2 linked regions of the Caenorhabditis elegans genome follow. The protein of the gene in region 2 interacts with the protein of the main gene of each other region in a pairwise test. Each region holds a gene or a part of one and is shown on either strand. Other genes may lie near its edges. The genes, in order: nhr-49 and nhr-66.

Region 1 (16,611 bases), on a different chromosome or scaffold from region 2:
TGCCTTGCAAATGACACACTTCTTCCAAAAGAACATGCAACACAAGTGGGAGATATCAAGTGAGTATATTCTCATTTCATATCTGTATTCTCAGGTTTTGTACAGTCATTTCAGTTGTGTCGTCGGACGAATTATTGATGAAATTGTGAATCCAATGAGGAGGTTAAATATGGATTTAATTGAATATGTTGCACTGAAAGCTATTCTGTTTTTCAATCCAGTCGTCAGAGAAATCAACGATCAGAGTCCGGTGGAGAACGCCCGATATGCTTTTTTGAGGTCATTGCAGAGAAGGTTTATTTGACAATACTAGCTTCTATAACAAATGTAATATATTTCAGGTGTACTGACAAGGCACTTGAAAATATGGAAGACGAATCAATGGATTGCAGAAGTGGAAAGCTTTTGTTATTACTTCCATCACTTCAGGCTATTGCTCAACAATTGGTTAGTTACAATTGTTATTCAAATTAGTAATTTATGAATTTAAAGGTAGAAGATGTCCAACTTGCTCGTTTGTTCGGTCTCGTGAATGTCGATTCGTTAATGGAAGAACTTATTCTAAATGATATGAAACCTTCAGATCCACAGGTAATTTTTATTTTGAAAAGCAGAACAATGAAAGGAATATCTTAGTTATTGGCAACTTTCAAAACCTAAATCCTGAGCCCGGGGAATTTTATTTCAAACTCTTCCAAATGTGGAATATGCACAACAAATTTTGTTTAGTCTATCTAAGGAGAATAGGTCAATAAATATGCGGATTTCTTTTGTGCTTTGTGACTGTTAAGCTTATGGTGGTTTTGTGGAAGACCCTAATAAGTTCCAGAGACAATTTCAATCTCACAATTTTTGTTTTCAGATATTACAAACGAGTCTGGCATCACCGGTGAACTCGTCCGTTAAAGCAGAAGTTGAATTGGAAGAATAGTTTCCAATTTTCCAATATTTTATATTCAAGAGACCATAATCTCATCTTGCCTCCCTTCCTGCTCAAACCATCTAAATACTTCCAAACTTTGACTTCTAGAAATCGGGTCCCAACGGACACATTACTTACCTGCTCAAACCACCTCATTGTTTCCTTTTTCTATGTTGGTTTTATTATTATTTTAATAATTATTATTTCATGTCATGCAAATATTTGAAATTGTAACAACAATTAATTCGGTATCAGGAAAACAACAAAATATTGAAATTATTATACATTCGCAGCTGAAGCCATTCGGCTGCTTGGAGGTCGAAGGAATTGAGGAGCTGGTGTAGTTGGAGATTGATCCAAATGTAAATCTTCTCGACTCATGAGAGGAACCAAAACTGATGTTTTCCGTCGCAGACCTGAAAAGGGTGCATAGTATTCAGGCAAATGAGAACAAGTCTAAAATGTATTTATTTTTCATAAGCTATGAATGATACTAACACCTCTCGGAAATAGTTTCTCTTTGAAACTGACTCAAATTTTGCGAGACTCTTTTTTAACCGGATCATACTTTTTTAAACGGCAGAACAAATTTGCATTAACTAGATGAGCACCTTTATGATAATCAGTCTGAACATCTAGGTCTAGCCATCACAAAAAAAGACCGAGAATGCGTAATTCCAAATTGTTCGGTGGAAGAAAATGCATGATTCTTAGTACGCTTGGTCAGGTAATTCACTACGTTCTTGAAAACTTACTTGGTTCAATAGATAAACCACCAGCAGAAGCAGATCTATCATAGTCGTCACCGTAACTTTTATCTTCCAAAATCTCTCTGATTGTTGCATGTCCTAAAAATATATCCTATAAAAGAATATAATTCAAGTTCTACTAACCTGATTCTTGTAAAAACTGATCCCACATTGTATCAACAATATCCGTACACATAAGAATACCAGAATGTATTGTAATCATTCGTAACACGAAAATTCCATCGATTTTTATATAGTCACGAACAAACTGTAATTTTATTTTTATCTATAGAAGCCTTTCCCAACACTCTTACCTCATCAAGTTCTTGTTTGAATCGGCTTTTTTCGAAATTAACATCAGCCAATTCTAGTCTTCTAGCAATAAATTGTCTTCGTTGATTAAATGGAATTGATGCAAAAATCCATGAGAGTATGGATCCAAAGGAAATTAGAGATAACATGGTGTACCAGAGCCATAGAATGAAAAATATCTGGAGATATCGGTTTTTATCATTAGAAGAAGTTTTTAATGTTGATTTACCTTTTCTGTAAAAATATTGATAACAAGAACACACTGGACAGTATGTCGTTGTACATGTCCAAGTATTCTAATCTGCATATCACAATATGTTACGACGGGGAAATTTGAAGATTCTTTCCATCCTTTTCCCATTATCAAATCATAAAATATTCCATAACCGTAATATCGATGAGAGTCAAGTTCCAAGAATCTGCTCATGAAATACATCTGGAATTGTAAATTTATATAAGAGTTGCCAGCTGAAAATGGAAAAAAAGATTAAAAGTCTACCTGAGTCAGCACATTCATCAGAAATAAGCATTTTATTGCTAGATACAAGTAGGTCAGATATGATTCGTAGTAGCGAACGTTGAAAATTCGGAATACCCTGAAAATTACCATTTTCCAAATAATAAATTCCAAGAAAAAAACAGACTTATGATGGTAGGGATGCTTCTCTCCAATTCTGAATCGATGTTTAAAAACGGATGACAAATGAGCTGAAAGTCCACGAATATTTGCAGTTCGTTGAGTTGGAACCACATTTGCTTTGTCGTTTGCAAATCCCATAATATCTTTGAGTCGAATTCCTGATTTGTCATAGAAAAGTCGCCATATTAAGCATGGCGCATAGAAGCTGAAAGCCACGTAGACAAGGAAGAAGGGCACCCATTGATAATATGATACCTGGAAAATTGTGGTTATAGGAAAGAATGGAACATTGTAATTTTTCAATTTTATTGGCGATGGTATACAAAAAATTGTGAAGCTCCCAAATAAGGTGGAACTTACCATGGTATACTCCCTGTTAACAACTTCAGGAAGATTATCGTCCTCAAAAGCAGTAACGTATGTGTTCCGAGCCCAGCAGTACATTTCTGAATTAAATATTAATTTGTTAGATTATTTTTATTACCTGTATAATCTTCCCAACTACTCTTGTATTCTGCGGGAAGCCAGCATTCAATAGGTCGTCCTCCGAACATTTTAAGTGATATTAAAACCTGAAAAAGTTTTGCAATAAAACAATCTTCAATTATCACTCACAGCAGTTAAAAGCAAAAATGTTGTTGTATAATAGTAGTGTAATCTGTCAAATATGTCATCATCTGCTTGTGGTTGGAGGAATGAGAGAGTTCCCACTATTTCAGCGAAAACCATTCTGAAAATATAGGATCTTAAGAGGTACTTTAACAGTCACAAAAGTCAGGAGATGCAGAAATATTTAGAAAGAAGTTTACAGTGAGATCATTAATGAATTGATGATTTCACCAGGCCATTACAGTTAAAACAGTACTTGTATGAGTTTTAATTATGTTTTGAAATTTCAAAAACGCCAAAACCACTGATCCTAAACATACTCCACAAAGGGCAATTGTCAAAACTTGTCTTCCAGTCGTGTTTTAAATTTTGGTAATAATTTTCTGCAAATTTATGAGAACATCATATCAGAACTAGCGGAAAACTGAAATAAAACAGGCCTGCCTGCCATTGCAATTTAAAACAAACTTTCAACTTTCGATACCTTGGAACACGTGCACCAGGTGAACCACCCGTCTTATTAGAAGAAGCGGAATGTTGGGGAAGTGCTTGAGCGTCCATCGGTGGAGGGGGAAAACAGAACTCTTATTCCATAATAATAATAATAAAACAATACACACCGAATAGTAGATGTATTCAATTACAGTTTGTATAAGCCAAAGTTGGGTTACAATAACTTGTGAGAATAGAAACTGAAGAATAGTTTCCGAAGAATGTTTGAGGAATCAAGGTTGGCAGCAGTAAGTGCCAACAGAAATGTGGATTTTCCCACCGTTTTGTCATGATTGCACAGTTTCACGCGTACTCTCAAGATCATTCAAGTTCGAGTAAAAAATGGGGAGAATGCGACAGTTTTTTTGAACTCGGTGAGCTGCACAAGATTTTTTAGATTTTTTTTTGAAATTTCAAAGATCTTCGCGAGAAGACTATAGTTACATAGACTCGCAATGATACAAAATTTGAACGCTCAGTTAATTAAACTATGAGAAATGTCTGATTTTGTTGAGATCCGCAGATAAGACATGGGCGAGAACATTGAGAAAGCTTTGCTTTTAATAGAATTTACTTGAAAATTGAAACAATTGCTAAACTCTGAAGACTAGATCCACAATGTTGATGTTTAGTGAATATATGAGTGATGGACAATGACTCAATTCAAATATTAAGCCATGTCTACAGTTCTATATTTGAAAACTTGTTTGAACTGATTTTTAATAGTTTTTGAATGATTTCTGTATATATTAGATGATGTGATAGTTTTGACTGTTGTTTTATGGACGACAGTCATGAATTCAATAGTGTAGGTCAGAAAACGATCATCGTATAGTTAAAGTTGCACAGTGTGTAATACAGATGTTAACCCTACAACTACTACAGTAATACTGTCAACTTCTACAGTAATACTGCCACAAATTTTATGTATTGGTGAAAAATATTGAGACATGAATCCCGCAAATACTAGAACCTTAAATAAATATTTTCGGGCTAACTGTCCTACATTTTTACGGATTTACAATATTCTCTATAACTTGAAAAATTAATTTCTTTTGAGGTCTAGGAACAAATAAAGATTGAGTATAGAAAAAAGTGAATTGATAGACATGTAATGATGTATGCCTAGGTCTCACCACGATGGATTTTATTCCAAATTGAAGCCACAAAAATGTGTGCGCCTTTAAGTAGTACAGTAACCAACTTTCCCGAAGTTAACCTTTTCTTCAATTTTTGAAAATTTCTCTCAAGTTCTTAATAGAATTTTCTCTTAAAAATGATTGAAAACTGAAACAAGTTGTTACGGTACTTTTTAAAGGTTCACATTTGATTTTAAGAACAGATCTTAAAGAAAGATAAAATGTTGACCGTTTTGAAATCTACTACTAATTGTTAGTTACCAAATTCTTGTCTCAGAATGGAAAGAATATCAAAAAACCAAAACAAGCAACCCAAAAAAACTAAATAAAATGTCCAAAACTGGCTGAAGTGTATGTGCTCCAAGAGGTGTGAACTCACCCACCTAAGCCTAAATGCTCACAATTTCTTCATCTTCCCTCTTCCAATAGACATATCATCACTTTTACCCCGTTATGTACACTGTTCGGATCATTGAATTGATCTCAAGTGTCTTGGGAAATGGTCATATATCCACTATCATTTAGATGATCGTGTCAATTGAAATCAAAACAAAAATCATCAATTTGAAGAGTTTTAGAGAAATAAACAATTTAAAAAAATCTAATTTTGAAAAAAAAAACTAAAAAGCTCAGCTTCACCTCCAGCAGCTCACACCAGGTGCTCAAACATTTGGAAAACAATACTTTTTGTAAATTCTTCTAAATTTCTAAATTGCAATAAAACTTACGGTCTTGGTGGAGGTGGTGGAGGACGTGGCATTGAACTTCTCGAGTGAATTCATAATGATGAGTCAATTGTGTTTATTTGATACGAATAATAAAATATGGTATAATAATGTATTTTATCGATGAGCTTTGAAAAAGTATAAATAAAAGTTTCTTTTTGCAAACATAAATTGGTACGAACGCTTGAAAAGAAGGAAGGAAAATGGGAAGAAGGGAATCTTCTAAATAGAGATGGGAAATGCCAAGACAGTCACTTCTTATACATATTGAAGTACTAAACTGATAATTTGATTGACAATAATAATCACAAGAATAAACGAGAGCCAGCCCGTCTGGAAAAAAGATTAAGGAAGAAGAGTTGGGGGAGACGAGAACAATAACCTGATATGATATAGAGATGGCCTAGACAGGTTTCAAGATGAAACAACTACTGAGACGGAAGGGTATTCTTCTTTTGTTATGTACATTATAGCTGGGCTCTGGACTATTTTATAAATTGGGGGTAATGATTCAAAACAACAATAAGGGAAAAGATGAAAGATCACAGATTCGGAATAGAACTGGAGATGAGATGAGGTGAAGAGTTTTGGGAGAAAAAATGGAATTATTAGAGCATATGATTATTCTGCTCACTGTTCAAAATGGAATCTTGTGATTGGAGAGGATGAATTGCCAATGGAGCTGCAAGAGTTGCTGAGAGCATTCCAGTTGGTGTAATTCCAGAAACAGACGAAACACTTCCCACTGATCCGGCTGGATTTAACGGAGATACCTGAAAAATATGAATTTTGAAATGGAAGATCTTTTTTAAAAAGAGAATTTTACGGTTTTTCCCTGAAATCATTGGCCGTTTTCGCTATTTTTGTATTTTTTTAGAATAAAAAGTTTAATAAAATAATTAAAAACAAACCCCATTAGTCGGTAACGTTGTCGGAGATGAAAGATGTTGCTGTAAAGAGACCGGAGCCGTCGAATGATCATTGATGTCGTCGAGAATGAACTCGGAGAGCAGAGAATCCACCTGAAGCTATCATTTATGTACGGATTCAAACAAGAAAAGCTTTCATACCTCTGCCAATCCGAAGAACTTTGTAAGTGTCATATTCTCAATGAGCAGCTGAGTCAGAGCCTTGAGAGCCGGTGCCAACAACAAAATATTTCCATATCTTGTGGGTGCGTCATCTGGCATCTGATCGAGAATGAATGCATAAAGAGCTTTCAAAACACGATTTCTAGCATCACGAATCATAATCTGTGAGCTATTCGAGAGTCCTTTGGCTTCTGGGTGCAAGAATGCAAGTGCTTTCAAACATACAAATTCTTGTTCTCTCATCTGAAGTTGTCGCATTGGCCAGACAATTTCATCAAGAACTCTGGGTGTTATATTGCTTGTTTTGAATGCAGCAAATCCATTGAGGTCAGTGTTATTGTCACGTGTCATATAAGTATTGTTGAAGAGACAAACTCGAGTTGTATCGGGACTTCGAAATGCTGGCATCAAAATGAGATGTTGTGGTGCATAGTTTTTCAGTAGAATGATCTTATCTTCCATCGAAAGATCCATGAATGGATTAATTGTTTTTGCCCATTCAACCATCAATAAAAGTGTTGTCCTGGAGATTTCATTCAGATCCTGAAAATAAAACAATGTGACCTCTTAATTTACGTACCATCCAACTCACTACCTCGGTTGTGCATGGCCGGTTTGGTGGTGCAAATGCCGATGCTCCAGAATCACTTCCTTGTTGAATATCTGTGTCATTTCCATTCGACCCCCCACTGCCGTTTGCAAAGATTTGCGATCTTCGGTATCGATTACACATCTCTTGATTGACACGAGCCTCCATCTCCATTAAAGCATCAATGACACTGCTGGATTGTGGAACTGTTCGCATATTCTCTTGTCCCATACCGTTTGATCCGACACCGTTGCTGTTTCCGTTCTCGTATCCGGGGCTTCTGTCTTTTTTGAATGGAGTCCCGTTGAGACTGGCTCCAGATGTTGGTGAACCTACAGGATCACGTTCGAATTGAATAGCTGAAATATATTAAATTGTAGAATTGATCGTGGATGTGATTCAGATGATAGAACATGGACCTGAATGACAGAAAATAGTTGTTAAAATTTGTATTTTTGAATTCCCACGAAAATGAATGAAATATAATTATAGTTTACTATATTTTCGACATTTTTGCGTTTTTCGGTAATGTTTATTGTGGCTTTGTTTCAATATAATTTTTTGGTAAATTTAAAAAAAAAGAAATCATTCAAAATTTAATACAATTTTTAACAGTTATGTTCTGTCATTATGACTCTATTTCTTCTTTAAAATAACGAATTAAACATGAAAAAACATCCAAATTTTAAACGTATGTAGAATTAGATACGATATTTTGCTCCAAAATTATTTTTTCTAGATAGAAAACTACGAAACAATTTTTTTTTAGAAATATCGTGTTTTGAAATGGAATCTACGGACAGGAAAAGGAAAGAAAGAAGAATATATTCTAAATTCTGAGTTAACGGGGCAAATTTCCGAATCAATATCTCAAGTTAGAATCTTTTTTGCGGCCGATCTCATTTCACGGACGAAATTGAAAAGAGGTCACTGGTGAAAAACATGAGGCCACTGTGTTTTGGATATATTCAAATATTGAACGGAAAGAGAAATGAATACCTTCTCGTTTCATTCCAACTTGTACACACTTTTGAAAGCGACAATAACGACACGCGCATCGAAAGTTTTTGTCAATCACACATCTTTTGTTGAAACGGCAAGTGAACTTCTGATCACGAAGAACTGTTCGGCGGAAGAATCCCTGAAATTCATGAGTTTTATTAATGCGGGATAAATCATTAAAAAGTTCGAGATGATAATCATAACTTTCAAAAACCAGTTAAATTAATACGAACTTTTGCAACCATAAAGTACAGTACTCGGTCTCGTCACGAACAATATGTTTTCAAATAAAGCATGCGCGAAAAGCGTGGGTTACTGTAGGTGGAGTCAATATTACTTTGCTTTAAAGTGAGGAAATTGTTTTTTAAAAACTACTCCTGTGGTACCAAAGTTAACAAAAAAAGTTAGAAAATTTTTATTGACAGTAAAAACTGGCAATTACAGTTTTTGCCACTTTTTGAGAAAACTATAGCCCTGTCGCTTATCGAATCCCTATAGTGTTTGATTATTAATATTTGAAACATAAGTAGTCCATAAAATTATAAGGAAACAATTTTTTTGATCAACGACTTCCAAAAGTGGCAAAAACTGAGATTTTTCATTTTTCAAAAAAGGAAAAAATATAATTTCCAAAATCATTTTTCGTGACGAGAACTGAATTTATAATTTCACATAATTCTAAATATAATTTATTTTTTATTATTTTATAATTTATCCCTTCTCACCTTACACCCGTTGCAGGAAATGACTCCATAATGGGTTCCAGTTGATTTGTCACCACAAACGGCACATGGTTCCGCAAGAGGATCTACTAGGTCCATGACTGAAACAATTAAACTTTTTACAACAAAAAAAACAAATGAAACACGAAAAAAACCAAACAACAGATAGCAACGCAAGTTTTCAAAGTGAAAGAGAAACGACGAATGTCACTTGTTCATGGAAACGATGAAATAGTGTTGGAGGTAGAGAGAGTGTCAGACGAGTAGAGAAATCAGAGTCAATGCAATGGCTTTAACACATGATAGACACACAAGAAATAAGACAAAATTTAATATAAGTATTGATAAGCCTAATGTAAAATGTCCTGACGATACGGTGGATTAAAAAAAACGATTTGCCGTATCTATTGCAAATCGACTATGACGTCATAGTGTTTCAATGGTGTCTTTAGGAGTGGAACGCATGTTGTCTTAATAATAAAGGACCGGCAAGTGCACACAATTGAGATGCATTGACCACTAGGCAGATGAATGGGCCGCGTTCAGAAATTGTAGGTTTTATATTAGACCTTATTGGTGAGGATGTGGAGATAATTCAGCAGCATATAATTAGAATTTCCACTGCTAGAAGGACAAACTTGGTACTTTCAATTTATTGTTTCTGAATATAGAACAATTTTGAACGTATATTCAAAAAGACCGAAGCTCATGTAGAATGTTTTTCAATAAAGTATCCTAATCGAGTCCAATAAAAGTAGAAATTTGAACATTGAAAGGGCAAGCCGAAACTTGATAGCTCGGAAATTTCGAGCCTCCCAGTTTAGCAGATGTAGTGTAGGACTAAACGTGTTGCTATTGTAGCGAAAGTAGAGAAGATTGAGAAATCATCCGTCTTGAGCAAACAAAAGGAAACGCGAAGATCAGAAAAGGACTGATGTGGCACACTCTAAAACTGGTCGATGTGTTCGGCAAGATTCCAGTAGTCTTTCTCTCTCTCTGCTCACTCCAATGAGGTATTCTTAAATGCGGATGCTATTTCAAAGTCTTCTTGATCAATCTTGTCCGACGGATCGAATAAGATAGACGGTCGCGCTAAGTAGTGTCGTTCCTTTTCTCTCCAAGATCGTAAGATCTATATCTAAGGAGCGAGGAGATGTAATGCATCGAATAAGTGACCGACGAGGATCCAGTTGTAGGGTTTGGTAAATTCTGGTAGAAAATGAGGAGACACATCGAAGAATGACGTTCTAAGAGAAAGGGCATTTGAATTACTTTAGAACTTTTAGAAGAGCCAGGTTAATAAACTCAAAAATGTACATATTATTTGAACGTATAAAAATCCATATATACCCATATAGTGGACTTTGCAAAGAAGCCATCCAAAAATCATTCTATTAATTTCTGGATTTCAATGAGCAAGTCGCTGATTGGTTTTGTAGTTCTCAGTTTGGTGGAAAATTCAAAAAGGCATGAAAGTCGATATTTTAAAAGTTGACTTTCTTTCAATGTCGCTTGATGTGTCCGTTATAAAACTTACTTACAATCATCTGAAGATTCTTCATCAATTTGATTCAACTGAATATGTTTAGAAGCATCAAGAAAGTAGTCCATATCGTGAGAACGGAATGAGTTGACTAACAAAATGATGAGTATATACAAGGAGTTTGCGAATCACCCCATATAAACAGGAAGTGAGAGACTACATTATGTAGTTCAGTGTTGTTCGATGCCCCGTACTTTGTACTCTCAAAGCTAATTGGGACCGGCGTCGTCTCATTTAAAGTCAGTCATTAAATCTATGAACTTTTGATTGTGGAAAAAAGCTGAACTACTGGCAAACAGAAAGGAAACGAAAAAAAAAGAAAAGAAAATGGTGAAAAAGAAGAAGAAGCTAAAGCTGGCAGGCCAGTCGGTTAGAAGGACAAAAAAGAGACAGTGGTTGGTCAAACATGTCGAGAAATATGAAAAACTAGAGAGAATGGAGTTGACAGAGACACCAAACAACGACAGCCAACCACCCACAGCACGTTGACAATCGATAACAGGAGAGGCGCAGACCTTTAGAGATGAATAGATGAAAAGAGGTAGAGAAAGATTGTAAGAAAGTTCCTCTCGACCCTCTCTCCCGTACTACGCTATACCCATCAGGTCGTTGACACCACCACACGTGAATGAAACAGTGTTAACCGAGTGAAATTAAAATGTTTCAGATATGCCTTATATGATAAGTTAACATTTTTGGAGCAAATATTTTCGAAAAGTTCAAATTGATGATTTCAATTTAATTATTTCTTTGAAAAAAACGAACAAAAAAAAACAAGTAAAACAATCAACAAGATTAAAATGTGTCAAAACCGGAAATTCAAACAACAAAAAATATCACGAAACTAAAAAAAAATTATTTATTCTTTTTCAAATTCCTCTGCTTCTCCGCCGACTCCACAATCAGGTCCTCGGTTGGCAGTCCTTTACGTCTTCTAACTGCATCCATATATCCTCTTGCATGATTCGGACTGTCTCCCTTCAATCCGAATTCTTCAATTTCTTCCAATGTAGACGGCGTCCAGTAAGGATCCTCGTCAATGACTTGCCAGTGAGAAAATTGAAGTTGAGCAGAAGCCATTCCAGATGTGAACTTGCGAAGTTGATCACAGAAAGAGAACGATTCGACGACGGGCATTAGGGAGACCACTTCGAATAAATTTGTAGCTTCATTGATGTCCTCGGAGAGTACCTGAATTCAAAATTATTTTTTATTTAAAATTTAGTATTTATACAACGCCATTAAAGTAATAGTCAAAATTCGAAATTTTTGAAACAAAATGCTCATATAAATGAGATTGGATATACCGTATTTATTTGTTTAATCGGCACACTAAACCATAAAATCTATTTAGATTATAGTTGGAAAGAAGATTCATTCATTATATTCTCTCCATATATACGTTATTTGCACAGATGCGTCGAAAATTACAAAAATTAAATACTTCGTTCACATGCTCAATGGGCAAATCACATTAAATATTGACATGGATTTCAGGTTTATATTCGAAAACAAAAAAAAGGAAATTTTCGAAGCCGAAAAATTGAAAAAAAAGGAAAGTTTTGTAAATTTGAAATTATATATTGAAAAACTTAAATATTTTGGTCAAAATTTAACTTTTCATAATTTCGAGTGTCATTTTTAGAGCTATATCAGAATATTTCGGATTTTTTTTTCGGAAAAAAAATTAAAAATTAATTTTTTGTAAATTTGAAATTTTATTTTGAAAACTTGAATATTTTCATCGAAATCGCACTCTTTCTAAATTTTCTAGTGTTTTTTTTTTTTGAAAACATGTAAAATTTAAATTTATCAGTTATCAGGATTTTCGGTTTTTAAAATAGAATCGTTTTTTTTCTTCAAAAAAGCGAAAAATCTACTGCCCTGATGGATATAAATATTTAAATTTATAATCTCTAACTATATTTGAAAATGTTCTACAATTCTCCATTCCTACTTTCGATTTTCTTTGTGACAAAACGGCATGAACTTTTCCCAATGCCTGACTGGCTGTAGTTACAGTACACCGGTACATGGCAGCGACAAGGCGGAGTGCAAGTTTTTTAGCAGCAGCAGAGCATGAAGCTTTTATTGCAGTCATCATTTGTCCTCCAATAGCTCCATCTTCTTCATCAACATTCCATTCTTCAACAATAACTGCTATTCCGTGCATAATTTCATTGCAAAGTGGTCCAGTATTACAGAATAATTCAAATCCAGCGACAAGTGCTTGATCATATCTTCTAACACCAAATTCTGTTTTTCTCCAAACGGAATCTCTATCATAATTTTGAACATTATTGAATAGAATATTGGCTCTTGCTCTTTCTGGTCCAAATGCCCAAATTTGATCAATCATTGATTCAATCACTTCCTTCGGTTTTCGAAACCACCAAGATCCTTTCAATGTTGGAAGCGTTTCCAGACAAACGGATGTAAATCTTTTTTGGAACTCATCAATTTCGGTTTGATCGGCTTCTCCTCGACGAATCGATGAAATTAACGAAGAATTTTTGTCGAGCAACTGAAAAATTGAAGGTTCCTCGGCAAATCGCCGCAACTTATCCACCAACTTTAGCAACTTTAGAAATGCCAAGTGCAAAAGTTGCTAAATTTTGGTAAAAAAGTTGCTAAAGTTGGGCAAAATAGGTTAAAGTTGGGGATGCCCTCAAAATTTGCACTGAAAATTTTTCTAGAATTGGCTAAACTTGGTTAAAAAGTTGCTAAAATTGGTGGATAAGTTGCAAAACGCTAAAATTGGCGCTTAAGTTGCTAAAGTTGGTGTAAAAGTTGTGACGAAATGCCGAGTTCGTTGAGGATTTTGATTTAAATTATACATATAAAATTTCTCTGAAATGCATAATAACCTGAGAATTTTAAATTAAAAAAAATGTTCTCCAATAATTTCATTTCAATTCGGCAAAATTCCGCTTTGCTTCCTTTTTTCCCATTTATTATATTTTTATCGAATTTTTTAGATAACTTTGAAACCTTTCAAAACCAAGGGTGTCGGGTTTTTCCGATATTTTGATTTTTTTTTTGATTTTTCGAAAAATAGCTCGAAACTATTTATTGGTAATTATACCTTTTTTTAATTATACGTTTTCTGATGTTTCATTTTTTGAACTTTCGTTTTTCGATTTTTCGATTTTTCCTGAAAAATCGATACCGGTTAAAAAATTTTTTATTTTGCGGAGTGTTTTTTTTTCATTTTCAAAGAAAATTAGAACAAAAAAAGAAAATTTGGTCGCGTTACAGTAACCATCATGCGATTTTTTAATTCAAAAATGTTTCCGAATTAATTTTTTTCGCAATTTTTTAATTTTTTAAAAAGTACTAAATAATTTTCCTAATTTTAGACTATGTTTTTACAATTCAAAAAATTTCAAAAAAAAGTCCTAACCTCGACAACGGCATCTCCCAATGGAACAACTCTCAATTTGATATATAAAGCTTCTCGAATACGGCATTCGGTCTCTTGTTCAATAATTTGTGGTGCTGAGAGTACAGAATCTTCAATTACAGTCTCCATAAATGGAACAATTGGTTCAGAGACATCTAAATCCACAAGTCCCAAATCATTTAAATCCTTGATACATTTTTGTAAATGTACTTCTCCAGCTGTCACCATTGCTAATTCTCCATTTTCCAATTCCATCACTTTCAGACTTGTATCAAGTAGAGCTAATAATTTCAATTTTTCTCTTAAATCGTCCATATCATCCAATTGTTGAGTACTGATCGAAACTCTAACCAAAGCTTCTCCAGTTTGAGATCCAATTTTGAGACAAGGGAAATCCGGTTTCTCACAGAGAGTAGTATTTTGTAATAGAATTTCTGCATCAATAGTACAAATCATTCCTGATGTTACTGTATCGGTTGGAATTGAATCACGACCACGAAGAATTGAAATTCGATCGATTTTTGTAGAAGTCACTTCGCTGCTATTCTGAAAAAATATTTTTTCAAATTAAAAACAATTTTGAAAGATTTTTTTAGGACATAATTTCAAACAGGTTCCGAAAAAAATGCCAATATCAGACAATCTTCAAAAAAAATCAAAAATTATTTTATTAGAGATAATGTTTGTAGGAACCTATTTAACATGTTATTTTTTAAATATTAATTTAATTTATTTGGGTTTTAAAATATCGGAAAACCGAAAATGTTCGTTTTTCAATTTTTTTTTATTTTTTTTTTGATTTTCCGATAATTTGGGAAACAAACGATTTTCCAAAAGAAAAACAATAAAAAGTTGTTCCTTTTTAAAACAAAAAACATAGTCTTGTCTGAACATGCTTTTTTTCAATTTTTCTATTGACTCTGGAAAACCAAAAAAAAAAGAAAATTTTGTATTTTTTTTGTGACACCTTGGTAGGCATAGCTTTTTTTTTTTGGAAAAATTGTTTCCTTTTTCGTTCAGAGAAAAACTCGAATTTTAATAATTTCCGCTCATTTTTTTCATTGAAATTTTTTGAATTATTTTTACATCAAAATCAAGATATATTTGCTACATCTTTAATTCTTGTAATTTGCGAATAATATTTTTCAACATTTTTTTAAATTAGAAAAATCGAAAAATTAATTTTTTTTAATTCTCTAATAATTTATTTCGAGGAAAAATAAAATGAAAACAGTAAATTTTTCTAATTTTCTTCCCAAAATTATTCCAATTTCGATTCTTCGAATATTCTAAGAAATAAAACTCACATTTTGTTGTTGAAGGACGTATAAAGTGTCTCCTTTACGCAGTGTCCCACTGAGAACACGACAAATTGCTCTACGAGAAGTGAGATTTTTGTCTTCTGTCTGAAGAAGTTTCACAACAAAAACCAGTGTCATTGCTTCAGGATTACATTCGAGAACGAATTTTCTTAATGGATGATCCAGACGATGACCTGTCAGATGATCCAATCGATGTTGAGTATCAAATGTTGATCTAACATTTGGAGCTCTTGCTACTGCTCTGAAACTTGCTTTTGGAAGTGGCAACCAAGTTCTCATAAGTTCGTCGAAAGCTTCATTGGCTCTTCTGGATTTTAAATTAATTCCAAGCTTTTTTGCAGCTTCGGCAAGCTTGGTAGCATCATTTTCAACAAGTCCAAGATCGTGAATTCTCCAAAGTGGTTCTAAAACGATTCTTTCGAACAGTGTTGCCTTATTCTTAACTGCTGCTCCATCTCTGATAGACCCAGTCGAATCAATCCAAAAATCTCCGAACATTGCAGGAAGTAATGCCGATTTTTCTACTTTCATTTTTTCAGCAGCTATTTGAGCAAAGTCTTCGCATCCAAAAGCGTATGAATGAAGTGCTGATGAGAAAATAACATTTCCTTTTGCAGGATCAAAATGAAGTTTTGCTTCCGATTCTTCGATATTTCCCCATGTATCATCTTCTAATACAATTCCTCCAAGAACCTGACTAATGCAACTATTGACTCCTTCAATAAGACGAGACATATGTTGATATGCTTCACTTGACGACATTTTCAGTTCAACTCTCAATCGATCGATTTTATTGATAACAAGAATCATTGCTTGACCATTTCTGATAACTTGACGAATAAGAGCTTCTGTTTGTGAGCAAATTCCTTCAATAACATCAATCAACAGAAGTGCAATATCGGAAAGAATCAATGCTGACGTCACTTCTCCAGAAAAATCCACGTGTCCCGGACTATCAATGAGATTGATGAGAAGTGGCTCACAGAGCAAACTGATTCCACTGGATTTCATAGTAATTCCACGTGTTTGTTCATCTTCTCGACTGTCCATATAACGTAATTTTCCCGCCATTCGACCTGAAAATTTAGATAATCGTTGTCGAGTTAGACATTTTTAAAGTTTTTACTAGAAATAACAGCATTGGCTGAAACCAGAGAATCTGCAAAACTGGTTTTTCCATGATCCACGTGAGCGACAAGACAGACATTTCGGATATGCTCAGCGGGTTTCTGCAATTTTTTACATAAATTTTCAAAATAGCTTTAAATTTTGGTCATTTTCCTTTTTTTTTAAATACATTTATATGTATACTTACGTTTTTTTACTCATCAACGTATAAAAAAATGTGAGG
Region 2 (14,549 bases):
TAGCGGCGACAAGCATGAAAATATCAGCCATTCGAATTTCTGGATCATACAAATGTGACATTTCATCTTCATAGTACATATAAACATCATGAATAAGCTGATCTCGAATTCTTTTCAAAAATTTTCTAGTGCTCTCATGGATTCCGTATATTCCTGGATCGAGGAGCACAAGCCCGAGAAGAATGGTGAGCTCTGTTTCCGTTATATTATTTTTCTTCATTTTTTCTCCGATTGTGTCCATTGCATGTGTGAATGAAGGAAGGAACAGACTGAAAAATGGAATTATAATGATAAATATTTTTAGTATAAAATTTGGTAGATAAAGAAAAACGGTATCTGCCTTGTTCTGCCTTTGGGCTGAAGTAAGAATTCTAAAATCAGAAATTTTCAACCCATTTTCAACCGCGAACAACGAGTTACTGTAACTTTTGGCAATTTATGGGCCGATGTTGCATTATTTTTGCAATTTTTCGTTTTATTTGAAAAATATTATGCAATATAATATTGACGAGTTACAGTAACCCGTTGTCCACCTAGCGATACCCATGCGGGTGAGATATGCAAAAATCTTTTTTTTATGTGAATGTAGGGAATTTATGATTTCAGTACATCTATGAATTAAAAAAAAAACCTACTTTGTCGTCGTCTCATAGTCCAATTTGAGATCTTTCAGTGCTCCATTTTCAAAATATTTGGCAATATTATTGAAGTCAATATACGTATTATTGGGCATCACGAACCATCGTTTCTCGAGTCCACCGTGCCTCCAAGTCAAGTAAGGCTCTTCGACGGATTGACGCATTATCACAAAATTTCGATAGATTTTTAATTTCTCTACAATTGGCAACGGATCCAGATATCGATTTCGGTTCATAAAATCTGCAGCAAGTCGAGGTTCGATCTTCCATAAATGAAACATGCAACTCGAGAAGTCGGTGAGTTCGGAGAGAGTTTGCTGAAATATTGAAAATTGTTTTAAATTTAAAAATGCTATTAAAACATACATTCTCAATAGACGATGGTTTCCGAAACCAATCGCCTAAGCATCCAGCATAAAAAAGTTGTCGTTGTTCCGTTAGAAAATTTTGTCGACAAATGAGCTCATGAAGAACGGATTTCTGACCACATGCTGAGTTCATACAAGTCGATGCTTGTGTTGTTCGGAGTGTACTTGGAACTCTTGGAATTCCAGCCGGAGATGAAACATTTTGATTGAAACCTCCAGATGGTCCCGACGATGTGCTCGGTTCACTAACTGTCGACACTTTAGCTGATGGTTCGAATTCCGCATCGGGGCTCAGCTCTCGTTTTACACCTGCCGAATACTTTCCGATAGCATCACGACGATGTTGAACAGCTGAAAAAACATAGTCATTGATGTGCAAAATGAATGACAATTTAAAAAAACTTACAGTTTTTATCCATTCCTGAACTGATACATTTACGAAATCGACATGCTCTGCATTTTTGACCAGCTGATCCATCTGAAAATTTAAATTATTAGATTTTAAACGAAAGTAAGAATTTTTAGATTGACTACACCTAAAAGCTTCTTTTGGGACGTGTTCTAGTGTAAAACAGAAACCGGAAAAGGTGCAAAATTGTATCAAAGTTCAATCACAAAACACATTGCTTCACCCATCACACGATAACTTTTCAAGTGCATTTTCTATGGAGAACCCAATAATAAACTCTTGCTGGTACCAATTGTTTGGTTATGTGTACATCGACAATGAAACAAAGTACATACCTTTGACTACTGTACATTTTCCTCCCTTGTTACATGAATAGTCTTTATTGAGAACAACTGTTCGTCGGAAGAACGCCGAACACGCGGCACACGCGTCCACTCCGAAATGAATACCCGTCGAATCTGTACCACAAATGGCGCAAGCAGGAACCTGAATTGAAAAAAAAAGATTTTTAAAAAAATTTGGAGAAACTTTTATTTTGAACTTACCGCTCGTCGATCACCCATTGCCGGTGTGCCAGGTTGCGAATTCGATGAGCTGCTCGGCTCGTTCTTGGCTGCAACTGGAGAAATGTAAATATAGAATAGTCAGAAGACGGCGGGAAGTGATAAGAAATTAACATTGAGACAGACCAATGGTCGAAAGTGAGCAAGAATTGCTTGAAAATTCACGAAAATTGCTATTTTTTCTCTCTGATTTTTTTAAAACTGAAATTTCCTACAGAAAACTAAAAAAGACTCACCAATTTTAAATATTCCAGGAGGTGATGACTGTTTCTGACTCATATCCATTGCTGCGAACACATCAGTTGAGGCAGTCATGAAGTCTAGAAGACGAATCACGTCCATTACAGTTAATATTTTGATCTTTATTTGATTTTTTCTCGGATTTTTCTTGAAAAAAAAGAACAAATATTTTTTGAACGTTTCTAAAACATAAATCGAAGCGTGTTGAATGTACAATGGCAATGATGATGGTGGTTTTGATGATGACAGTGATGATGATGATGGTATGCTGGTAGAGACAACTATATAGATAGATGAGAACTATATAGAGAAGTACGTAGAGACTGAGAGAGTAAGAGAGTGGCCCGTGAGGGTGGCAGTTGTGTGGAACGCAAGAGATGGGAGCGAATCGCAGACGCAGACGGTAAGAGTTTCTGTTATTTTGCTCTCTCCGAGACACAGTCCGCTCGGTGAAGGGAACCGAGCATTAAACAAACTGTGATCAGTTGAGCAAACAGTTGTAAGGAGCGTGGCGGTGAAGCGCGCGAGGAGTCGGGCGGACAGAGGGCGTTACATTGAAAATATACCAGGGAAACAGTGTTTCAAATTGAGAGAGCGACGTAATATAAAAGGTATGAGACGAAATGTAATGACATCACAGGTATTCCAATATGAAACTAGAGTACGATATGGAGGTTTAGGAGGAGGAGGAGGAGGAGGAGGGCATAGACCTACTTAATGCAAAAGATGAGACAGCGAGAGACATAGATCAAAGTATCATAGGGTTCCCCTCTTCTGATACGTAGAAAACATTTAGTGCAAATTTGAAAATGTTGTTCAGTTTTTTCAGTAACCAAATAATTTTCTTAACATAATATTTCATGATCAACATTATCAGATGAAACCACTTGTATGCTCTCGAGTATATCAAAATTAGAATAAAAGCAGATTAAATAGTTATTGTCGCCACATTCAACTTGTAGCCTATAACGTTTTTGGAGAAAATCAAAATATCATTTTTCTTTTCTGCTAAAAATCTCTCTCGCACTTTCAAACAGCATTTCAGCAGAAATCAAAATATATTTTCGTCTAGACTCCAAAACGTCACCAGTGTAATTTCTTTTCGTCGGTGCAAGTTCAATCTCTAATCCCAACGATCTTATCACTAATCACATACTTTGTTCCCAATCTCTGTTCATCTATCAAATTCAACTTTAGAATAAAATACACGTGTGTTATGATCTTTGACCAAACACAAGAAAATATACGAAGCCTATGTCTAGCGGTTCCCCTGTTAGCTCAACAGTGTTCAAACATTCTGACGTTGATCATTGAGCATGAGCATCGTTTCTTTTATGTGGTCAGACTGATCAAATCTAGTGGGATTATAATCAAATGTACGAAAGCTAACTAATACTTACTTAACGTTTAGAAAAAAGTTCCAAAAGAAAGAAGCAAAATGCTTTAAAGGTGGAGCGTGAATGGCGTTTTTGCTCCAAAAAACCCCAAAATTGTCTTAGAATAAAAATCGAGAAAGAATGAAAAATTAAACTTTAAAGAACGCAAATTTTTATAATTCCACTTTGAATTTCCTCCAAAAATTAACTGCAAGAAATGAACGACGCCCACTTCTCCACCAATCAGACGGAGTGTGCGGAGTTCGAAAATGGGCGTGGATTCTCATTTTGGAGGAAATACAAACAGGGAAATTTTTATTAAAATTGAAAAATAACGTTTTTTAAAGTTGGGTTTTTTCCCGATTTTTTTTGTGTTAATTCTGAATTCCAGACTATTTTGGATTTTTTGAAGCAGAACCCCCATTAAGCCATGAGCAAAAAATCTGATTTCCTTAATTTTCAAAAGCAACTATGTAGTTTTAAGCTAGTTAGAGAGGCTTCGGGTGTTCGAGATTGCATAATGCCTACCTGCCTACGTACCTGCCTATTTGTTTTACTATGGTATAAATTTTTGGTTTTTGATATTCTCAGATATTTTGTTGAAAATTCAAATAAGAAATTCAAAAATGGTAACGTGTGCATTTTGCAATAGGTACTCGGTCGGTAGGAAGGCATACACTTTTTGTTTCTATAGGGAATAATTATGTCAGATACTTCATTGAAAGTTATTAGATATGATCCAAATATGGATTTCGATTTAATCATGAGCTCAAAAAATGTTTTTATAAATAGATAAAAATCTTCATCATCACCACCGGAATCATTTTCCAAAAAAAGTTTACTTTTTTTGAAAAGGTTCTCATTTTAAATAGTTTGCAAATAAAAAAAACTCACGATTTGGAATATATTGCAACTGATGTGGATGCTGCATTGTGTGATGCTGTATCGTATCCATTGAATATTTTCGAGCCATCGAATTTTGTTGCTGAGCCTGTTGTTGTTGCCTCTGCTGCTGCTGATGCTGCTGTCGATTCTGTTGATCTACAGTTGTGACATGACCTGATGGCATCAAAGGGGCGGGCTTTTGTGGCAGCGATGTTAATGGTGATGGTGGTGGAAGAGTTGGAGCTGAAACTACTGTAGATGCTTGTGATGTTGACGGCTCGGAGCACGATGACGATGATGGGATCGCCGGTGAGCCCACCGCTCTAAAAAAACAAAAATTACGGTAATTATTTAATATGGAATATTTCGCAAATCGAGTTACGGTTACTAGAAGTCATAAATTGATTTTTTCAGTACTATTAAACTTTTTGAAAAGTTGTGATTTCATATAGAAAAATTGTAATTGATATAAAAAAGAATTCAAGATCAAAGAAAACTTCCAATAACTATAGAATTGCTAAATGAAAATCTACTTGAATCGAGGTTTTTATTCGAAAAAACTTGCAAAAAAGAGAAAAACATTTCAATACAAACTTTTGCAAACAAATCTTTGACCGATAAGATCATTGATAAAATTATTGAATGAAAACACAGTTTTTTAAAATGATTAAAAGATGAAGCATTGTAAATGAGAGAAAAACAACAAGAAATGGTCAGTTTTTGCATCAAAAACTTGTCTTCTTTCTTCCATCAACAATGCGGACATCCATTTTGGAGAGTGGGTGACGTTGTCGGGAAAAACTGAATGAATGGAAGAGAGGACACCTAATCGTTATACACAATCTTACTACGGTTTTATGACTTCATAGATCAAGAAGAAGAAGAAGAAGCAAGTCAAATAAGGATGAAATGAACAAGAAACCACCGCACTGGGTGGTATAAAATTAACGGAAAACAGCTAGGAAACGGAAGAAACTGGAGGATCTATGAAATTCGAGGCGTTGTTGAATTTCGTGATGATGGAAATGAAGCATACGTGAAGAGGGAAATGGAGACACAGGCATTACCAGCATCACACGTACTCGCTTCAACGTCGTCTTGTGGTGGCGACACACTCATGTGTTTCTCTCTCTCTCTCTTTCTCGTTCTCTTACACTTTTCTCCATCTCTTTTGGAAGTGGACAACAGGAAGACTTTATGCAGAAAAGTTGCCAGAGGACAAACACGTTGAGAAAGTAGTGTAGGTGCCTAGCAACAACACCATCATTGTCGTTTATTTGTTTCATTCTCGATTTCTCTTGGAAAAAGCGCGCCTCGTGGCTTTCCGTCATGTATGATTCTATCTTTAGCGTAAATGAGGTCGAATCGCGAGGAAGGACTGGGGCGATTCAAATGCAAATTGCGAAAATGTTTGCAAGGAAGTAGGAAGGTGAACTTTTGGACAGAAGGCTTCTTCTTTTATACATCGTGCAAAGGTTGAAATCGGTGCCAGGCAGAACTGAAGTAAAGTACCAAGCACTTTTTGCCACCTGATGTGTTTTTCAGAAACTAATGTCTAGTTTCAAAACACACTTAAGCCTCATCTATTCAAACCAAAACATAATCACCCGGTGTATCATCAAAATAAAGTTTTGCAAACGTAAAAATAACGTAATCGTAGCAGTGATCCTATAAGTACGAAAATTGGTAGGTAGGGAATTTTCTCCGCCGTCCGTCCGAATTTTTGCATGTAGAATTTATTAAAACTCTATAAATGCTTGGGAATCTTATTGATTAACACCTGTTTGGGTTATGGAAAAGCTGACTATCATTTTCCTTAAACACGTGAAATTCTTGCTGTTTGAATCAATATAAAGGAACATTCGGAAAAATTGAAGAAGAAAAGGAACACCGAAATGGGTGAAATTTTCTTTTTCTTTTCATCGTCTTTTATCTTGTTCTCCGACTGCCCTCTGCCACTTTCCCTCACCAGTGATCTGTCAGGCGGACAAGGTGGAAACCGAGGGATTGACAAACACTCTAAGGACACTACGCACAGGAGTGAAGAAGAGTCCGTGAATACTTATTAGTTTGTAGGTCATTTCTACGAAAAAATACAAACGGTTGGCCACCTCGTGAACCCGATCTTTGTACAAGAAGTTAAAACAGTCGAAAGTCGATTTTTGCGTATGCACAAACGGTTGTTTATAGTATAAACACAAACTGATAACTCTAAGTCACCATTTTATCATGACTATTCGCTGAAATTGATCGTTTTGATCTAACGATCCGAATGATTACACGATGAACACCATTCAAAATAAAACTGGCGAAATTAATTTCAACTGCTTTGAAATGTGTAATTGTAGGCTTTCAGCAGATTTTAACAATCTAATGTAGATCACTTCAATATTCTAACACACTAGTCTCATTCAGCTTTTCCACTGAAGATCAACGAGATTTATAAGATATTCACATGACAGTTTCTGGACAATAGAACAAGTGATAACGTCTTTATTCTAGATGCCCGTAGTTTGTAGTCTTTAGAGTTTGTCAAATAGATGTTGAACATTTAATAGGGCGAAATGGGGATCATCGGAACAATAATCGAAAGCAAACGGCTGTCAACTTGAATAGAAATATTTTGGCAATAAGCCAGGTTCTAAAGTACGACAAAAGCCTGCTAGTTCCATTTTGGAATCAACACGATCCTGATCTATGCATTTCTTTTTGAAAAAATCTTTATATAAACATCGAAATGATGATAGAAAATGTTGTAGGCCAACACCGATAACACATGAGTTTGTGGTATTTTGCAAGCAGGCAGGCGCACGAAAGAAAAACCGCAAAAAGCGATGATAAACCGGAAAGTTTCCGGTGATGGGGTATTGAGTTTGCTATAGCACACAGTTTTCTGTTTTCCCGAAACACAAACACGTGGCGCTTTTGGATGTTGAAGTGTGCGCTAGCGAAAGAAAAGAAAGGAGAAATACGTAAAATGATACATTGAGCCTTTGAACTTTCTCGTTGTGTGTGGTTCTCTGTGGTTTTTTTCCTTGCAGAAAAAGAGACGAGACTCATCAACGCAAAAGTTCTCATGCAGTCTGGGAATTTCAAATTATGCAGTTAAGCACAAGATGGGTCAGAGGAGGAAAGCTTTAGTAAAGAGAAAGTCGACGAGTTGGTAATGAGACGAGAGTTTCCACCTGTTTCGGATATACGGAAGAGGCAAAGAAGTAATAACGGAGAGCCGGCTAGCTTGGAAGGAATTATAAACGGAGCCGATCTACCAAGGCGGGTTATTTCTGACCCCTTCAATTTTCCTCCTATTATCGGTTTGTTTTGAAGCGCATCTGCTGTCATTGAGCGCTGCAAAGCTGTTTCGATGGTCAGGCGGAACGGACAATTGGGGATGGATGAAGGACTTCGGGCTTTAAACGATGGACGGAAGACCTAACAATTTGGTGTTCGACTTTTTATATAATAGCTTGATTAAGTTGCTATATAAATCCGTTAAAACTTGAATATAATGTTGCACCACTTGTTCCCGTTGATCTTATAATTGAAAAATCACATCGACTAATTTAGAAATCATAGAAAAGTGAGTTGCAAATTGTAAAATAGAGCTGCTTCAGGTGCACATATAAACTTCAGTCTAGTCGAGAAAAGATGATTACAATGAAGCTTTCTTACAACAAGTATCTCTGGAACGTTGCAGCACAGAAATCCCTTCATTTCTACACATTTCAACGACAGGAGCATGCCAGTCAGCTGTACTCTGCACCTTTCTCCCACACTCTCCACTACTCATGTGTCATGCAACATACAACGGATCTTTGTTTCAATGCTCTTTTACTTGCATTTCCGTTGTCGCGCATGCACATTTATATATATATATGAGAAGTCTGCTCCCAATGACAAGGGCAACCAACTAAAATTATGAAGGATTATTTGACTTTGTTCTTTGATTTTGAGTTTCTTTATTCTAAACTTATGAATTAGCAATGTACTCTATGTCTCTTCTGTATGTAACATCACATTTTTTAAGAAAATAGCGCTGCTCAGCTTGATTAGATTTATCAGACACTCCAGCGTTGTCAAGCAGAAATCAGACAGATGAAAAGTACAAAGTCACAGAGCAGGAGGAAAGATATGGATCAAAGCACAAGACTTTGAGCGAAGATAATAATGAAAGATCAAAATTCAAATTTAATTCGGAAGGTTCAACTTTTTGATTATTTCTTTTTGAATTCCAATTGCAATTTTTTTTCCATACAAAAAACTGCCTATTTTCGGCAAAATTTTGAATTTTCAAAAGAAAAAAAAACTCACGGTAATAAGTTGAATCCGTCCAGTCTAGCGAACTGTAGTAGAAGTTCTGGAGGCAACGATGTCAACGAACCAAGCCCAGTGAGTCCTTAAAACGAGCATGATTGATTAATATTTCAGAGAAAACAACAATTGTTTACGCGAACTACGACTCAATTTCTCCCGCGCATTTCTCCCCCATTTTTCTTGATTGACAATAACAATCTACCGTACCGATTTGTGGAGTCATTGTCGCTGTGAGAATTGGCGTCTGGGATTTCCCGGAGGCCAACGAACCGATGATCGGTGTCGAATTCTGGATGTCAAGACATGATGTTGATGTTGTTGCGGGGGTTGAGAGAATTCCTCGAGCGATATTGATCAAGTCGACTTGAGATTTTAACTGAAAATAAAATATTTTATTGAATTAATTATTAAATTTCATGAATTCTTCAAAGAAACAAGTTTTTCGACTAAAAAAAATACAATTTGTGCGCGCAGGGAACCACAAAAAAGAAACAATTTGTTGAAGAAAATGGTTCAAAGGAAGGCTTGGTCTCGCAACGATTTACCTGCGTTGTGCCAGAGACTACGATACAATTTAAAAAATCAATTTTTTTATTGTAAGCATAAAATTTTATAGAATTCTATTTAATATTAATAGGAAATTTGATATTAAACTTTATAAAATTCAATTTTTATGCAAACCTGTGTCATTCCTTGCCACACCGACGATGCTGATGTTGTCGTCGCTGTGGGCTCATTGATTGGCGGCATTCCATAGAAGATGTCTGAAAGAAATCTGAAAATAGTTGACGTTTCTAATTTTATTAATTCGAAACAAAATTGCGATCAGAATAATGAATAAATTGAGCTCAACAGAGAGCAGGCGAGCACAAGTCGAGTTCTCAAAAAAGAGGCGGGCTGAAGTTTGCTCGCGAGAGCTTTGTAACAAGAGCAAGGTAACCGGAAGGCCATCGAGGAACGAGGAAAATTAGAATACTGAACTGACAAAAGGACCTTGAAAATTGAAAGTATGAGAAAATGGGCGGGGCCGCCGGCAGGAGACACGTGAAAGATCAGCAGAAAAAGGACGGATTGAACGAGAAATCAAATGCGCCAATCTAATGGATTCGCTTTTATTCTTTATCTGTATATATGTATGAGATGTTGTGACGACGACACCATCGGGACAAAAATAATCTTAGAAAACAAAAATTTTCAGCAATTTTTCGCTAATAGTAAATTTTAAAAGGTATTTTTTTAAGAACGTAACATGTTTTTGAAGATGTTGAAATAAATAAATTGATAAAAATTGTAGAAACGTTTTTCACGAAAAATTATCTCATTTCACGAAAGCTTACAGGCTTTTCGAAATGCTTTTCGCTGGAAAAAATTTGCTACCGAAGAATACAGCAAGTGCGCTCTGGTGAAATCCATTTGTGCGCGAAGTTTGAAATTATTTCTACAGTAAGATGAAATCAGAGAAATCACAGTTGTCGAACATTTGTAATACACGATCGTCGCATTATTTGTGGTTTATGGAGCCTCAAAAGAGAATTCAACAGTAAAAATGTGCATTATCGCCACAAATGGAAAACGCGCCTCGATATACGATATTCTGCAGCTAATCACACAAAAATCGGGTGGATATTATACGCAGTCACGAGGGATGTGCAGCATACCGTCCGTTCTGATGCTCAGCAGTGTGCATACAAAAGGGGCTCGAGATGGGATATGTGCACAGCTTCTCGCATAATAACTTTAAAACAGACTACATTTTGGCTATTGTTAGAGATTTTAGAGAAGAACAAAAAATATGAAAATTCGAGAAATCAGGCATTGTGGGTAAATAATTATAACTATAGTCGAAATGAAAAAATGTTTTTATTTTCTGTTATGCTTCAGCTGTTCATCGTTTGATTTTTCTCATAAGACTTTCTCTCATAAGAAGTTGAAAAATTCAAATGTTAGAAATACATTCGTGTCTAGATATTTGTAGACATGTCGCGTTGTTAGGCTCACTGAACACGTGCAAATTTAGCGAATATTATGAAAATTTTCGTAGTGTAGCAGAAAACATTTAAAAATCAAAATTTTCCGAGAAGCACATTAAAAAAGAATACAAATGTGTTCTTTCAAGTATTTGACAGCTTTCGTTTAGGGATTCATTCAAGTCAGCAGCAAGATTTCGGACTTCATGCCTACCTGCCTAGAAGTCATGGATTCAATCCATAAAACAGTGCGTAAATGGCAGGTGCACTTTTTCTGGTATAACTAAATAAACATGAATTGAAATGTTACTGTAATTTGCTTGCTGATATTTGAAGACGTTCATTTAAATGTACTTGAAAGCATTATCAATTGGGAAATAGTTTAAAAAAAAATTTTTTTGCAGTTTTTGCAACCAAAAGTGTAGATGCTCGTTTATCTTAATGACGCGAGTTTGAGTTTGAGAGTTGAGTCTCGCTCGAAATCCGGAAAATAAAAATAAAAAATCAATTATCGCCTTCATTTTGATTATTGGTTTCAATTTAAAACATAGGAAGTAGTTATCTTTGGTCCAAGCCTTTTGTTTATAATTGATTTGAACATGAACAATTGAAAACTTTCTATTAAAAATCAATTCAAGTATCCAACAAAATTTCCTACAATATTCGAAAAAAGAGGCATCATACTGTATAAAATTCGCTTTCATCATAAAAAACAAAAATGGGACAAACGGTTGGTAGCAAGCAAGAGACGGTTTTGTATTTGAAACGAATCATGACGAATCAAGAAAACCAAACGAGAAAAAACAAAAGACAATGTCAATTGTACGGTTTTAAGAAAGTGATTCAGAAGGATTCGTAAAAACATAAAATCTTGAATTTTTGAGTATTAAAAATCTCTTCAAATCGGGCGATGTAAGAATCAGAGGTTCCATGTTTGAAATATTGAACCATACAAGACAGATGAATGAGATATGGATTGAAAGGCGGGAAGGATATTCTAAGACTAGACAACAATCAACACGGAATTCGGACAACCGATCGAACATCTTCGAATCGTTGAAAAAAACCGAAAAGAAAATTACAAGAGAAAGTGTTTAAAAAAATTGTTATAGAAAATATTCTAGAGACCAGTCTAATCTACTAATGTACACTCAAAAAAATTAATTCTAAAGTAGATCAGATTGAAAGTATGTTTAGTTTTTAGGCTAGAACATTAAAAAAATAAACAAATTATTCTAAAAAGAAGATTCTTAAAGGGGTTTTTCAAATCATTTTTTCCCAACGGTGTGTCTTAATTATTTTTAACCAAGTGGAAAGCTTAAGATTTACCCATCTCTTGTTGAGAAAGAATGAAAAATGTTTATGTATGTACATTGAAAGTAGGTACGTAAGGTTGCCTAGAAACTAGACATGATTGCAAAGTCGTACCTACGTTGAGTGCATATTCTAACCGGTTTGCTTTCAATTTGAAACTATATGTAGAGATTACATGTAATTTTTCCCATTCGGTCACATTCGGGAAGCTTTAAAAACACAACAGCCTAATTTTGCAGTAAAACGTATATGGTAAAAATTAATCCGCGTGCAAGACCTAGTAAATCTACACTTCATAATTACCAAAAATTAGAGTCCCACGCCTGGAGCCTGCAGAGAAGTACCCCATAAAAGCCAAAGACTAGAAAAATGCCGAGAAGATATCTAGGTTGAAATATTAAAAAAAACTACCTTCAAAGTATAAACTTTCGTTTGACAAAGAAGATAGAAAGATTTATTCGGAGTCTGTGTATCAAGTTTGTCCAATAGAACGAGTGCAGCAAAATAGGCGGAGCTTCTTGGAAATTGAATGTAGTTTTCTTATTTACATTTTAAACTTATTGTTTTTGTTTGCAAACTTGAGAAAGTTGATGTCTGTGATGAAAAGCTGTGTACAAACTACAACATGCTCAATATTTGACTATCTCTCATTCAATACGTCGAAACTGCTACAAAACACGATAACTGTATGGGCGTATGTGTGTATATGATTGTATAAGTGCAGTTAAAGAAACAAGAATATTATTTCATGAGGTGAAGCCTAGATAGATGGGCGGTAATACATATAGATCAAATGAATGATAAGAAAATAAGGATGAAAAGTTTGAAGAAATAATAGGATGTAATTATGAATATACCCTATTTCTTTATTATATTGACTGTTTTCACCTTATTATAAAATCGGAAAAGATGGAATAATAACATAGATAAGATACCCGAAAAATAGGATCTTTTTGGTGGACCTGGACACTCGGTACATTTTATTGGGTAACGGAGTTATTTTATGAGTCGGTTTTGGAGAAAGTTTTATCATTTGAAAAGTTGAAAAGAAAATTAATGATATTTATTAACATATAAGATAAAATATATACTTTTTGAAAGTTATTTGATTTTTTAGATGAGCAGTGGAAAACTTGGCCACAAACTTGTTCGTCATCTCATAGCTTGAAAGAGGACAACGATAAATATTTCTTACAAAAAACATTTTCATGACGTGTGAAAAATTTGGACTTTTGATAATATTTGTATCATTAATTTATCTTAAGATTTAAAAAGCTTCAATATCATTTGAGATAAGAGAAAACTATTGAAAATCAATTTGCGATATGTTGCTTATGTTAACGCAACGTTTTAACATTAAAATCCTTTTTGACCAACCAGAAGGATAAATAAACATAAATAATTAACAAAATCCTTAACAAATTACTGATAGAAATTATAATCGATTCTGAACGATAGGAAATTTACAATAAAAGTATCTATGCAGAACCGTAAAAGGGCACACAACGAAACAAGGTCAGAATGCGGAGATTTATCGAATCGGGTTTTTAATTTAAAATTGAAAAGAAAGAGTAAATGAAAAGCAAAATAGCCAATTTGAAGATGAGTATGAATCTAGAGCAAAATACCGAATTAATTAATTATGAGAGCAATTGTATTCACAGACATTTTTTGATTTAAGCTTTTTTCCAAATTTTCTGTTAGAAATTTATTTGGATTTTAAATTTCAACTTTTACATTTTAAACTTAAAAATCTCTTTTTTGTTGTACCTTCAACTGTTTGTTTTAGAAATTCAACACAGGCAAAACTGATAAAATGATACTAGACACAACGACACATAAAAGGTCACATCATCTTGTGATTGTTCATTAAAACAAGTGGCCCTTCAAATCATTTGTCGTGAATCAAAAATCTGCAAGAAAATCAAATCACTTTCTCGTGGTTAGGCTTTTGATTTCATGAATCATGTAGTTTGTTTCGAGATGAAGTGAACTTATAGAATTTTCAGTTTGTTCTTGTGTATACAGTATTTCCTTCGATAGTATTGTACTACTTCATTTTAGAAAGTTAAATTTCAGTTAATTTTAGAGATATCAATAAGTAATCAACTGCGAATCGAATGAAAAAGAAATAACAAATAGATTGTCAGTTTAGATTTTTGTATAGGTAACCCCAAAACTGAAACATAAGCTGTCAAAGTTGAGGTCGCAAAAATTAGAAATGTTTTGAATTCTATAAACGAGGAATACTGAAAGAAAAAAGAGACAGGGAAGGGGGTATTATAACAGGGCGAGAAAGACAGTCACTTGAGGTTGTAGTGAGAACCTTCCTCGCGTCAAGGTAACAAGAAAAGATGGAGGCATTTGATAAGGAGGAAGAACGAGGGAGGACATGGAAGACCCCCGTCCCCCTCTCTTTTCATTCAGCCACTCATATTACAGACACAAAAAAGGTCCTGCTGGTCTTTGCCTTCT

Evidence for each region.
Region 1: the proteins of nhr-66 (region 2) and nhr-49 interact in a two-hybrid assay, tested with the Caenorhabditis elegans proteins (3 studies listed by BioGRID).

The regions. Positions count from the first base shown.
Region 1 is NC_003279.8:9,863,710-9,880,320, reverse strand, and holds nhr-49 (Nuclear hormone receptor family member nhr-49), read right to left. Parts: upstream 10,604-16,611; coding exon 10,534-10,603; coding exon of another isoform or gene 10,530-10,533; intron 9,094-10,529; coding exon 8,996-9,093; intron 8,410-8,995; coding exon 8,268-8,409; intron 7,628-8,267; coding exon 7,272-7,627; intron 7,223-7,271; coding exon 6,659-7,222; intron 6,611-6,658; coding exon 6,500-6,610; intron 6,362-6,499; coding exon 6,197-6,361; downstream 1-6,196. Other genes in the region: Nuclear hormone receptor family member nhr-69, read left to right, coding at 1-59, 115-294, 342-447, 493-591, 863-931; inx-20 (Innexin), read right to left, coding at 1,202-1,338, 1,678-1,770, 1,816-1,939, 1,986-2,162, 2,213-2,419, 2,483-2,579, 2,628-2,878, 2,984-3,069 and 3 more; K10C3.5 (Elongation factor-like 1), read right to left, coding at 11,391-11,726, 12,493-13,059, 13,939-14,484, 15,246-16,336, 16,387-16,489.
Region 2 is NC_003282.8:8,227,035-8,241,583, forward strand, and holds the start of nhr-66 (Nuclear hormone receptor family member nhr-66), read right to left. Parts: upstream 9,549-14,549; 5' UTR 9,544-9,548; coding exon 9,475-9,543; intron 9,170-9,474; coding exon 9,001-9,169; intron 8,876-9,000; coding exon 8,791-8,875; intron 7,981-8,790; exon of another isoform or gene 4,803-7,980; coding exon 4,489-4,802; exon of another isoform or gene 2,321-4,488; coding exon of another isoform or gene 2,299-2,320; coding exon 2,215-2,298; intron 2,035-2,214; coding exon 1,961-2,034; intron 1,902-1,960; coding exon 1,751-1,901; intron 1,485-1,750; coding exon 1,413-1,484; intron 1,358-1,412; coding exon 1,005-1,357; intron 956-1,004; coding exon 636-955; intron 270-635; coding exon 1-269. Other genes in the region: T09A12.8 (AraC family transcriptional regulator), read right to left, coding at 14,511-14,549. UniProt on the Caenorhabditis elegans protein: Transcription factor. Binds to regulatory elements and regulates transcription of target genes, including the potassium channel accessory subunit mps-2. Negatively regulates transcription of mps-2, thereby modulating age-dependent memory decline.